Arabidopsis thaliana: one gene and its partner. The protein of the gene in region 2 interacts with the protein of the main gene of each other region in a pairwise test. Each region holds a gene or a part of one and is shown on either strand. Other genes may lie near its edges.

Region 1 (6,694 bases), on a different chromosome or scaffold from region 2:
ATATTAATTGCTATCTTAGATATGAACAAACAAACAAAAGAGATATGAATTTTAAAGACATTTGATGATGAAAACATGTATTTTAGTCGTCGGTGCTAGTAATTGACGTCTCATCATCCAGACTTGCCTATTGTATGATATTTGAAAGAAAAAAAGAAGAAGTTAAAACACATATGTTTTCAATGTTTTGGAATTATCTTTTAAAGTCACATTTATCAAAGGAATTCGTTATACAGATTTGAATTTTGGGATTTAGTCAAAAAGTTTTGTATATATTTCACAGAAGCATGCATAAACACAAACTATTCAAGTGATCACACTTTTAATTTTAAACATCCGTGATAAATTTTAAAGCAACTAAGACCATAATCATTAAATCTTATTCCACCATGCTTAGAATTTAGAAGTTCAAAACGCAAATACTATTATTTTTTTGGAACCCCTAAAAAGAAATTATAAAATAAAAAAGTTTGGGTCTGAAAAACATATGGGCCTTAATTAGAAAATTGGGTCAAATGAGGTCCACTTGTAGCAAACTTTCAGCTCAAATATAAGATTTATTTGATTCCAACATTCTCAAGCTTCTGATGAATTTCCAAGTTTGATGCTTCTCAATTTTGTGTAGCAGAGAGAGAGAGAGAGAGAGAGACCCTAACCAAATAAACTTCTACAGAAGATTAAATTTACACAAACATCACACAATACATACATTAACAAAATATACACACAATTTTAGAGGTAAAGTGAAAAGTTATAAAACCTAAAACTCTTGAAAAGATGAGTGACCAAAGAGAAGACATTTCAAGATTCTAGAAGGGAAGCAACCATCCAACAGTCCAACCTAAGAGCAAACCAGCACCAATGAGACTAAACCCTAATGCAAAAGCCATCATATATCTCCCAGTCTCACCCTTTTTCTTCTTCTCCCCTCTCTGTTTTCTCTTCTTCAGATTCATTCCTTTGACCTGTTCCTCTTGTTCTTCTTCCTTCTTCATCTGCAGATAAAGAGCTTCCATTTCAAGAAGCTTTAACCATTGCTTATAAGCCAACATCTGACTCGCTTGTTTCAACAAGATTGTTATCACACGGTCTTTCTCAGCGCAAGCTTCTCTCGCTGCTCTCTCTGCTTCTCTTGCCCTGGTTTGAGAATGCCTTAGTGCTTCTAAAAGCTGACCTTTGCTTAGATCATCACTTCTAGGGGAAGACATTGGACTCGTGTTCTTGCTCTCTGTGCTACCATTGTAACTCAAAGATCTCTCAAACCGATCCTTCCAAACTCCTTGCTTCCATGGCGATTTAACCGCTGTTTTAAACCCTTTTTCTCCACTCGAGGAGTGAATACTCTTGTGGAGTTTTTGAGGTGGAGGAAGATCACAATTCTGGATATTATGATCAACCGATTTAGTCGCCACCATGAGAGCTAATTCATCTTTATCCGTCGTGCTTCTCCACCACGGTGTTGTAGCGTCAGCTTTCTTGCTAATAAAGCTGTAGTCTTCTTCTTCTCGTATTCCGATTAAGTCGACAAATTCATGCAATTTCTTGCATTTGGTATCTTCAAGAAAGGAGTTTGTAACCTCCTCATCAAAACCAGTTGATCCCTTAAGCCACCATTTGGTATCACAAGAGAAATCAGAGGAATCTCCAAAACTTCCGGAAGAAAAGCTGTTTTTTTCGGTGTTGCCCGAAGAAGATTGTTGGTGTTGGCAACAAGCTAACCTCGGAGCCATCTTAGCATCCTCATGAACAACAAAGCAACGACTAGCTGTTCTTTGCCACAATGCTCTTGCTTCAGCTGCTCCCATTATTTCATTAAGACACAACAAAAATCCTAAAAAATTAAGAGAAAAGAGAAACACACCAAATCAAAAGACTGTTCTTTTTTCACCCAGATCCTGTAATATAAACATAAAAGACATGGGAAGGATTAATTCGTTTTTCTTGCTACTCATGAGATTGCTTCTAAGCAAATGATTGATTCATAGATAAGCCAATGATTTAAGGAATTTACATTAAATAATACACGCAACGTCTGGGAACCAAAATATATTCAATCAAAACCAATTCAACGTATATGAAATCTTAAACAATCTTAACAGATCCAGGAATAAAGAAGACAATATATTTCACCACCAAATTAAACACAACAAGACATAAGTTTCAGAGCAATTAAGACATACTGCAGAACCAAAAAAAAAGAAAGTCTTGAGCAGAGCAAACTACAAAGATCATGCGTAAGATTTCGCAATGGGATCGAGTAAATTTACCAAAATTTTCAGAAATTCCAAAATCAGAAGTTGACCCAGGAAACAAAAATCATCACTGATCCATGAGAAAACAGTCTGATGGAAGAAACTAGAAGAACAGAGACTTTTATCTAAACAAAACCACGAAAACAGAGCAAAAGAGTAAGATTTGTAAAATAGATCAGAAAACGAAGTAACAACTAAAGATACCATTATTAGTAGTTTAAAGAATCCATGAATCACTCTAGAAACAAATGAAGCGATCTTGCGCGACCGAAGCTTTTGGCTTTTCTTCTCTTTTTTTTTAATTTTCGTTTCTCACACTCTCTGGCCCCATGGAACCAAATTTACAGTTTCTTCCGTAAAAGCTTCCGAGTTAGGGACACAAAACGACACAGTTTCAATAACTTGTTTGGCTTGGTAAGCATCTGAAACAGCTGGATTGACAACACGTGTTGGCTAAAGAGAGAATCGACGGCTATTACGATATGGACCCTACTTTCGATTTAATGGATAAGATGTTTTTATTTATTTTCTTACATTGGACCACAATAAGAAAAAAAAAAAAAAAAATCATTAGTCTTATTCCAACTTTAATTAGTCATTCTTTCGTTTTGTCGGCTTTAATTTTGCAGGATATATCATGTTTTCGGGGTCCAATTAGCATTCTCTTTTTTTTTTTAATCACGTTAATTGATTACTTTTGTTAGCTTTATTCAATTTTGAAGAGGGATTAACTATTTTGTATACGTACACCATGATATAATATCCATCCAGGTGGACTTTAACTATGACACGTGTCATTAACCAGCTGTTAGAGATCTTGTAGGCAGCCACGTGTTCTTTAGATCCCACTGAATCATTACGCTCAATCGAAAACATTCTGGTGTTATGATAACTCATGAGTCACCACGACAGGAATCTTTGGGCCATTGTTAAATTCAATTATTGTTCAAGCCCATATTGCTATTAGGCCCATTATCTGAAGTGAAGTGGGGAGATGAAGGGAAAGCTTTTTCGTGTCTATTATAAAAGGTAAAAGATGAAAGCTTCAAAATTAGAGAGTTTACTTACAAATATCCAACAAAAAACATGACTCGAGAATTAAACCAACTCATATGAACATTTACACATATATATGTTCGCTTATATCCCCTTTTCCTTCTTTCAGGTGTTCTCTTGCCGTAAAGGAAACTTATTTATCACCATTGATACCAAAGATGCGTACCTTGTGCATGTTGGGGAACTTGGCAACAACGAGAACCATCACAGCGAGTGTGTTGAGGAACAGCCATGGATGTCTGTAATCTGTTGTATGCGATGCAATCAAGTACCTGTTTTAAATGTGTCGTTATAAAGTCAGAAAACAAGTACAAAAGCTAAAGAGCTCAATCTTAAAAGTTCATCCAGATAAATGCAGCTCTTGTTTATACACATTATCGCGTATACAGAGTTCTCTAGAACTAGTCCGTTACACATCACCGGATTTAGATATGTGTATTGAGAAATTAGCATATTTATTAACCATATGAGACACAAGGATATATGCAGCTAAAGAAAATAATTTGCTAAGAAAATATAGATTGGAAATAGACAAGAGTGGTGAGATTTTGAGGAACAAGGTGCTGGGACTTACAGAACAACAGGAACTAGGGTAAGAAATTTGCGGTTGCGGGTAAGCTGTTGACCATTGTCCATTTGTTCCCACCAAGTTAAACCATTGTAGATTCCTTGGTCATCTGCAAAAGGAGTTCCTTTCATCCAGTGGAAGCTGTGATACGTTACCTGACAACAAATATCCACAAATTTCTACTCAGACATCACATTTTCCTAAAGAGTAATTAGAAATTAGATTAAATTTGGTTTTGACAATCAAGCAATGCCAATTTACAAGTCACCGCATTATATCAAACAGTTAGACCTTAAGAAATTGCATTGATGCCATAGGTAGTTTTAGTTTCTGATATCAAAAACTGATAATTCATTAACGAGAAGGTGCATCTTAATTCGAAGCCTGATCCAAAACCGATCAATTCAAACTTAGAAGAGAATTGCATCTTACTTAAAAGCCTGATCAACTCAACAGTCAACACTGCTGATAGTATCCAAACAGATCAATTCAAAATCGCTGATACCAAAACTGATCAATTCATTGATAAGAAGGTAACTGTATCCTAATTCGAAGCCTGATCCAAGCTCAACGATATACGATAGCTAAAACTGATCAATCAGAAGGTAATTGCCTCTTCATTCGAACCCTAAACCAACTAAAAAATTGCTAATAACCAAAGAGATCAATTCAAACACTAGAGCCAGATTCACATCCAGATCTCAGGAAATAAAAAAAAAACAAGGAATCAATCCATCATCTAATTTAAAGTCACAACCCTAAGTGAAAAAATCATCTCTAAAGCATAAACACAATCGAAGACTTACAACGAAGTGAGCGAGATTAACAACAGTCCAAGCCATTCCAGGGGAACAACCAGAGACAGAGAGAACAACGAGCCAACCGAAGAAGAGAATAAGCATGTAAGTCGTCCAAACTCCTGGATACATGAACCATTCCGTATTCCTATTCATATCCGGTGGTGGAACCGCTTTCACATACAGATTCGCCATTTCTTCTTCAATCAGATCGGATCGGATCGAATCTCGTCTTCTTTTGATCAAAATCTTATATTAACACCTGAACTAAAAACCCAGATTCACAAAATTCTCTATTTCGGCGAGAACAAGGATTGTTTGTTTCTTTGGTTTAATTTTGTGTGCCCGTGAAAGACGACGACTGCTTTTTTGCATCTACACTGGGCATTAATTAATTATTGGGATATTTTTGACATTACCCAAACCAAAACGTCTGCGTTTTCATTTTGTACAGACAGAAAATAGGCCAACAAATGCAATAAAGGGAACATAAAACCAACATGAGGATTCTAACTGAAATGTTTTCTTATGTATATCGAAATTCGTGAACAAAGGTGATAGGTATCTGTTTGTCACCTAACATAGTCGGTATCAGAATCTTCTTCTTCGTCTTCTTCTTCTTCTTCACCTTGCTCAATGGTCTTTACGTCAAGGTTGAGAGCCAAATCCTCAACTGAGACCTTAATGACGTCGCTTCTAACACCAATATCGGTAGCATAGCGACTCATACAGTACATACCAGCAGTAACTGTTGCCACACCAATGGGACTTGGAATAAGCAATTTGAAAGGAGAAGAGAGGAGTGCAGCCAAAGGAGCACCAACAATTGAAGAAGCTTGACCGCTTCTCCCTACACCGAGCTTATCCATTATAAGCAAACCGGTCTTGCAATAGAGCGCGAAATCCTCACAGTTGTTCTTGAAAATGTCGTAGTTGCCAAATCCGTTTTGGAGAAGGTACATTGCCCTGTGGATGACTGAATCAGTTGTATCAGATTGCGCGGTTGTGCAAGTCCCTCCGCGGACTTTGGTTAGGAAAACCGATGGACTGACTCCATATTCGAAGCAGTAGAGTGAGCCGTTCTTGAGGAAACAGTCTAAGCAAGAAAGGACTACTCCACTGTCCGGTTGTCTGAAACCGCAATCAGGAAATATGGAACAGATATCTTCAGAGGAAGATGATGATATTGATGATGTTGATGAATCCATGGGGTTGTGTTCAGGTCTGAAATGAACAACTTTGGACCCACCGACAAAGATTCCTGCAAAAATCCACAATCAAATCAAAGCCCATGAAGGAATGTCTACAACAGTATCAATTCTTCATCACCAGAGGAAATTGGGATAAAAATATGTCAAATAAACAAAAATCATCTATAAAGTCCATCAGAGATCAGAAGATATGATGGAATAACATCAAAATACAGAGCCAGGGTGAAATTAGGTCATGCAAAGATTGGAATATAGACCATTGTCTTCAAGATCTATCTAGATAAAGTCGTCAACTTTGTGAATTTACAGTTTCAATAAGAAGATTAAACCGACCAGTAGAAACTAAAAGAAAAGACTTGCATTGAGGATAATTTCACTTTTTGATGTTATGATTGAATGAACGAGAAAGAAAGGAGCAAACTTGGGAAGAATGAATCTAAAGTTACCGTGGTGAGAATAAGCGAAGATTGCTCTGTAAGTATAGATGTGATCTCCTGGCTTTAGCTCTTCTCTCTCAATCTTGTTCGTAAGCAAACCCATTTTTCTTCTTCTCTCTCTCTCTGCACAAAGCTTTTTTTTACCTTGCTTGTGGAAAATGCAGGAAACGGCGTTACAAGTGTAAGCTCTAACGGTGGGATCTGACGTCAGCGAGATAGGTAAGGTAAAGTAACGTTTTTTGGAGTGGCATTATCTAATTCGATAAACGAACTAGAGAGAGCTGTTGAGCAAACCCGTTACAGAGTCTTTTAACGGCGTTATCTCCAAATCCAAATGCTACCAACGTACTGATTTTCCGGGGCCTTTTGACCT
Region 2 (7,123 bases):
TACACTTTCTATGTCACTACCTTCCTTAGAAGCAATCGCACAAGACACAACAACTCGTAGTTATGGTCTTTTTTATTATATAGGAGGGAGATAGAGACTAATAGAGATACTGTGATTCTGAAATTTAAAGTAGAAGATCATGGGATCCAGTTATTTAATTTCACGAGTCTGCTTAAAACAGTACTTTTTTTTAACTGTATATATCTACTTTTTAGTTAACAATTTATTATCTTGAATTTACAGTTATGAATTCAACACTGAACTACACTAACGTAGAACAATAAATTACCACACAAAAAAACATAATATGTAATTGCTTTACAAAACCAAACAAAAACTCTGCAAAACAATTGGTCTTCTTCTTTACTTCATTCTAGTTGTCGATAGTTTAGAAGACTCATTGGTCCTCACTCTCTATAACAAAATATTGGAATCGGTACGTGTCTTGGTGACGGAGCAGCATCCATTGTGACTGAACCACTAAACAGTTCTCGCTCTTGAATCTGCAGTGTCTTGATTGTGCTCGTAGCTTTAGCCGACTTCTCCTGAACCTTCGCTTTAGATTGCGATAGTTTCGAAGGTTTCAATAACGTTTCCTGAACATCAGCTTTAGACTGTGATGGTTTCGAAGATTTCAATAACGTCTCCTGAACATCAGCTTTAGATTGTGATGGTTTCGAAGGTTTCAATAACGTCTCCTGAACATCAGCTTTAGACTGTGATGGTTTCGAAGGTTTCAATAACGTTTCCTGAACATCAGCTTTAATTTGCGATGGTTTCGAAGGTTTAAAAGGAAACTTTTGTGGGTAACAAAAACGTTTCAAGACAAAGAGATGAACCTTTTGATGAACATGTAAAACAGAGTTACGAGAGAAGAAGTAAAAGCCAATTCCGTGTTTTGTAAGAAACGGAACGGCATGAACCTCTCTGACGAGGTAACGGTGTGTTAACATAATAATCGACATCTTCAAGAGAGATTTGATGATTGGTCGGAAAATGGTAGACTTATCTATTCTTCTACGAGTTACTGAGAGCTTGATCAAGTAATAATTGTGACTAATGAGAGGGTTCAAGGTTATTTATAGAAGTTGGGTTCTTTACTCGTAGAAAATAAAAGAAAATTGATACAAACAAAAGGAAACATGAGTCTGTCCGTTTGTGATATGTTTCCTTTTTATGATTTAGGACTGTCGGTCTCACTTATTTTGTTTTCCTTAATCTGTTTTACCTTAATCATGTTTTCCTTTACTAAGTTTGAAATTTTTTCAATTAAACTTGATTATTACAAGAAGTTTCTAACTAGTTTAAAGGACAAGTTAGGGTTTCTCGAGAGTAATTGAATTTAGGGTTCTTGAGAGTCAAAGTTAACAACCCTTTTTGTTTGTTGGGAGATCACCCTATTTATACCGTCGGGTCCTCGTCAAAAGTAATTCAGGTTTGAATTCATACCAAAAAAAGAAAATTTAGGTTTGAATGTTTTTTTTCATCAAACATTGTAAAATTATGAAAAAAGTATCAGATTAAAAAACAATTGGAAATAAGAAAACTCTTTACTTCTTGTTAGTCAAGTACTGTGAAGATTAGTGGATACAGATTATTTGCTAAAAACAAAGATAAATAGACAATAATTGCTCCACAAAACAAAATCTAATTGAGTAATTGGTCTTCTTCTTCTCATTCAAGTCGTGCTTAGCTTTGAAGACTCTTTGATCATCTTTACACCACAAAATATCGGAATCGGTACATGTCTTGGCGAAGGAGCAGCACACATTGTGACGGAACCATCAAAAAATTCTACTTCTTCACTCGGTGTTTGAATCGGTTTCTCATGAACCGTATCCGGTTTAGATTGAGATTTTCCGGTTTTAGACGGTTTAAAATAAGCTTTTTGTGGGTAAGAAGGTCGTTTCTTCAAGCCGGAGCGAGGAACCACTTTTTGACGTACATGTAAAAAGGAGTTACGACAAAAGTAATGGTAACCAAATCCTTGTTTTGTAAGAAACGGAACGGCAAAAAAGTCTTGGACGAAGTAACGGTGTACTAACATTATCGACAACTTCAAAGAGAGATTTGTGTTCTTCGATGGGTTCTTGTTCGTCTATTGCTTTCTTAGGAACGAGAGCTTAATCAATTGATAGTAAGAAATAATGAGAGGGTTAAAGGTTATTTATAGTCATTGAGTTCTTTACTAATTGGAATCCAAATCAAAAAAAAAAAAAAAAGAAGGAATTTTACTCCATTACAAATTAGGAAACATGTTTATGTAAGTTTGTGTTGTTTCTTTTTTTCTATGACTTACCGATATCTGCGTTATTGTTATTTCCTTAATCTATATTTATTAATTTTCAAAATATTATCGCTTAACAAAAAATATTAAAAGATTCTCGTCTTCTTCTCATTTCAAGTCTTCGTTAGCTACTTAGCTTCGTAGACTCTTTAATCTATTTTTTAAAAAAACAAACAATGTCGAGAGAAATATGAAATATGTATAATGTATTCCTTGTTTGTTAAAAAAAACACACACTCTTTAATCATCTATCTGACGCAAAAATTAGAAATATGTATTCTTTATTAATTTCAAAAAAAAATTAACATGTTATTCTTGTTAAAAAAAAAATTAAAAAGGAGATATGTGTTGCTTCCGGACCTTCCGCCATGCAATATCACTATTTTAACATATATATACTGTCGCAACAAATAAAAGCTCATAAACCATAATTAATTAAATCTATTTGTTGGTTGACCAAACAAAATATTAGTTGTAAAAAAGTAAATATTTCCAATTAAACTGATATTATTTGCTTTTCACCTATTCTCATCAGATATTGTCGCTTGTATTTTTTAAAATTAAACCAAAAACAAACCGAATTGTTTTCGCTATACATAGTCACTCATCGAAGTTCAAACAAAGGCCAAACCAAAAGGCAAAACCATCGGATTATAAATTTATTTATTGATATACTAATTTTCTAAATTTGTTTATCAAATTATTTTTCTCACTTTTTTGTAGTTCTTTTATTTGTGAAAATTTATTTTATTTTATAATATTTAAATAAAATATAATACATATACATTAAACTAGGTTAGCTGAAATCTCCATGTGTCATGGTTGTTTCTAGTTAGAACTTAGAAGTGACCAATCTTACTTGTGGTTGTGGAACAAGTAACTCTAAATAAGTTGCAACAACAAAACTTCTTCAAACCTACTTCTCATCAAACCTCAAAACCCTAACTCCTCTATAAATACACACAAACTCCTTCATAATCTCTCCATCATCACTCACAATCAAACCTCTTTCCAGTGACAACTCAAACCCCTAATCCCCAAAATGGCTCACTGGTTGTCATCCCTAGTCATTGCATTAACATTCACAAGCTTTTTCACTGGTCTCTCAGCTAGTCGCCACCTTCTTCAATCAACACCAGCTATTACCCCACCGGTTACAACAACATTTCCACCACTTCCCACAACCACAATGCCACCATTTCCTCCTTCAACTTCTCTTCCTCAGCCAACTGCGTTTCCGCCATTACCAAGCTCACAAATACCTTCTTTACCTAACCCAGCACAACCCATTAATATCCCAAACTTCCCACAAATCAATATCCCTAACTTCCCAATTTCTATCCCAAACAACTTCCCATTCAATCTTCCCACCAGCATTCCAACAATCCCATTCTTCACTCCACCACCTTCCAAATGAGAAGCTAATTAAGCTCTATAGCTAGCTACTGCCACACAACACATGACCACGATACCATCTATCTATTGTTTGCATATTATGTGTTGTAAACTTGTAATGTTTTTTATTCTTTTTTTTGTCTAAGTTTGTTATTCTTTTACTGTCGTTTGATGTTATCCTTGTTGTTGATGTTGTTTTCTTTTAATCAGTTGTTTTTGTAATATATACAGCTTATTCTTATTCTAGTGATTACAAACTTTCTTGTTCCTCTTAATCTCTGTAAACCAAACAATATAAATTATATACGAATTATCATTCCCTGAAATGTTTGCATAGACAACTCAAATTACATGAGACATTCTGAAAAAATTATTAATCAACGTTTAATTCAATAATAACTTTGTCTTTTTATCGTTTAATCAATTACCTGAGCAAATCACGGACACCACCAACAATTTTAGAAGAAACCTTACCGATGATCAGATGAATGATACGACTTGTCCCTGGCGATGAAGCCCAGGCCCATAACTAGGCCCAATATATATGATCACATATGGTCCAAGATAACTTATCGTTATGTGCAGTAATTTACTGAAAACCAAAGACCATATTTTTATGTAATGTCCGTATAGCTAGGACTTTTAGAGATTGTGTCTGGCTAGAATAATTGCCCATTTCATAATTCTGAGAATTGAAAGAAATTTGGTATGCTAAGTTTTCCAATGTAAATCATTCAATGACAGTAGAGAGAGCTTCTGTCTTTCGTCAAAGGGAAAGCCATCAAAAAAGTCAAGAGTCAACAACTTCTAGGCCACTCCGACATCTTAGGTGACACGTGTGAGTTTGGTAAGAAGATTTAAAACGGCTTTTACTTGGCGGGAGAGGTACAACTACAAAGTCATTAGTCAACTCTTTTAGACCCTTTTTGGCCCAAACGTCCTCTTCGGGCCACACGGAGTTTATTAAATCGTGGTTTAATTGCTTAATTAATTTATATTTTATTTTATTTTTCCTTCTTTATTTGTTGCGTAATTAATTGTTTTCTTCAAATAAATAAAGTCAATGGTGGTATAACTCATTTCTTGCCGGTACAAGACCGAATGAAAAACATAATTTACATCACAAATGATAATTTTGCGATATTTTTTTATATAATGAAGTGAACCCATTTTGTTACGAACGTATAGTCAAATAACAAGAACTAAGTAGCCTATAAATATTTTTTCTTTTATAGTTAAGAAATTTGGAGGTCATGTGGATTATAAATTCTTCAAACCAAATTGGAAAACTAATTAGATCAAGCTTTAAAAAAAAAAAAAAAATGACTCGGATTTTTTTATAGTAATAGCAGTTCCCAGTTGGAACATGACTCGGATTAAAAAAAAGTGTATAATTGTAATCTTGCACACCAATCTGTCCACAACAGTTGGAAAGTTTAAAAAATATTAAACAAGTTAAGAGTACGTTTGGAAGGTCACCGTGATTATTATAATTAGATTAGTGTTTTATAATGTCTCATTGTAGTTTGACAAAGCCTGTTAGAGTATTATACTAGCCAAAAAACAGAACACGAGAAAAATAAAATAACACACATAGCTGTATTTCTTTCTTATTTGTTTAATATAGTGAATGTCAAAATACTTTTCTGAAGTACTAACAGATAAGAACTCAGTACGTAGCCTATTCTTGTAGTTTAGAAATTGGAGGTCATGTCTCATGTGTATAGTAATTTTCTTCAAACCAATGTTTTTTTATCGAAAATTAGATCATGTTAAAACCTTTTTTTGTTTTTGTCATAGTTCCCATTTGGAACTTATTAAAGAAAAACCAAATAATTATCCCCGTTGGATCTAGCTATATTAGTAATCTTGCGCTTATCTTTCCAACAACAATTGAATTTTTAAAAATATTAGATAACTTACCGTGATAAATTCCAAAACAAAAGTCAGTCACCGTGATAAATATAATCCGATTAGTCCATGTAATGTCTAATTGTATTATATCATTTGATAATGCCTGTTGGAGTATTAGAGTAGATAAAATAACATACATAGCTGGAATTTTTTCTTAATGTTGATCTCTTTAATATAATATAGTGTAAAAGTTAGTTATTTAGTAGTCAAATGTTAAATTAAATAGTTCACGATGGAAAACTGGAAGAAGACGTCAAAATATACTATTGACTTTTTTGTGCGAAAATATACTATTGACTAAGAAAACTAAAAAGTGGTATGAAAGACAAGTCAGAGCATTATTATTGCTTGTCTCTTAAATTAGTTCTTAGGTTAAGAACATCTCATTCTATCTCTTATATAAGAGATAGAATGAGATGTTTTTAGTAATCAATTACAAAAAAAAATCTTAAGAACTAATATAAGAGACAACCAATAATGATGCTCTCAGAAGCCTATTTATATTTTCAATTAGAATGTCCGGTTTAAGAGTTAAGACCCTTGCACGCGTGGCCTGAGCACGCCAACATTGCACAAGCATACGAGTTTACTATATGAAAAGAAAAGTCAATTATGTAGTAAGTGAAAATAAAATCTCATAGAAACGATTTGTCTTCTTTAACAACAAAATTAATAAAACCGATTTGTCTTGTGAAAAATTAAAAGAGATGTTTCTAGGCTTCTAGCAGAGACGTGGTAAACACTAGGGTTTTAGATAACACTGTAGGAAAATTAATTGGGTTTTGGTTAATGGTTACACAGCTAATTCACCCTTATTTTTTCTAAGAGGAAGAAAGAGTAAAAAATTAGTAAATTTGAGAAACGTTAGCATCGTAACACCAAATGACTCGACTACTCTCGTGCTTCACCGCATAGTATTTAATTATCTTATTTGTATCAACACAATGCATGAGTTCTGTATATATGAGTAATAAACAAACGTGGAATATACTTTCATGAGATGCAAAGTGGCAGAGGCATCAATGTAGGTAGGTAAGTTCTCTGAGGCTGCAAGAAGAATCTCTGTTTTTTATTTTAAGCAGAGCTTTATATATAGACGACGCCAATGGATGGCTCTAAGACAGTAAGACCTCTGACACTCAAATATTACTGGAGTATGGTTCCTGATACCATATTCTATATTCTACAATCTTTTAACTTTTACTAAAGGAACAATTCAAAAAAAAAAAAAGTAAGAAAAATTGTTATATCATATAATGTTTTCATATTCATAATTATTTATTCAGCTATTAGTTTAAAAATGGATTTTTTAATTAATATATTATTTGATATTGTATATGAAATAAGAGGTTCGAAACTAAATCAAGACGAAAACCAACTTATATAAAATCAAGATTAAATAATCGCATTCCATTATTAGACGTACACCAGAATCATAATCGTATGAAATCAATTACAAACAATTGATGAGAAAAGGAATCTATAATTCTTCAAGGAATAATCAAACATGGAAGGAAGAACAAAGAA

Evidence for each region. Proteins that work in one complex are often made in the same cells at the same time.
Region 1: the proteins of AT2G22510 (region 2) and AT1G01240 interact in a two-hybrid assay, tested with the Arabidopsis thaliana proteins (one large-scale study listed by BioGRID).

What each region holds. Positions count from the first base shown.
Region 1 is NC_003070.9:95,794-102,487, reverse strand, and holds AT1G01240 (uncharacterized protein), read right to left. Parts: upstream 2,623-6,694; 5' UTR 1,806-2,622; coding exon 810-1,805; 3' UTR 501-809; downstream 1-500. Other genes in the region: AT1G01230 (ORMDL family protein), read right to left, coding at 3,442-3,580, 3,883-4,031, 4,683-4,868; AT1G01225 (NC domain-containing protein-like protein), read right to left, coding at 5,246-5,934, 6,331-6,424.
Region 2 is NC_003071.7:9,565,908-9,573,030, reverse strand, and holds AT2G22510 (hydroxyproline-rich glycoprotein family protein), read left to right. Parts: upstream 1-3,246; 5' UTR 3,247-3,329; coding exon 3,330-3,704; 3' UTR 3,705-4,008; downstream 4,009-7,123. Other genes in the region: AT2G22530 (Alkaline-phosphatase-like family protein), read left to right, coding at 1-60; AT2G22520 (uncharacterized protein), read right to left, coding at 408-965.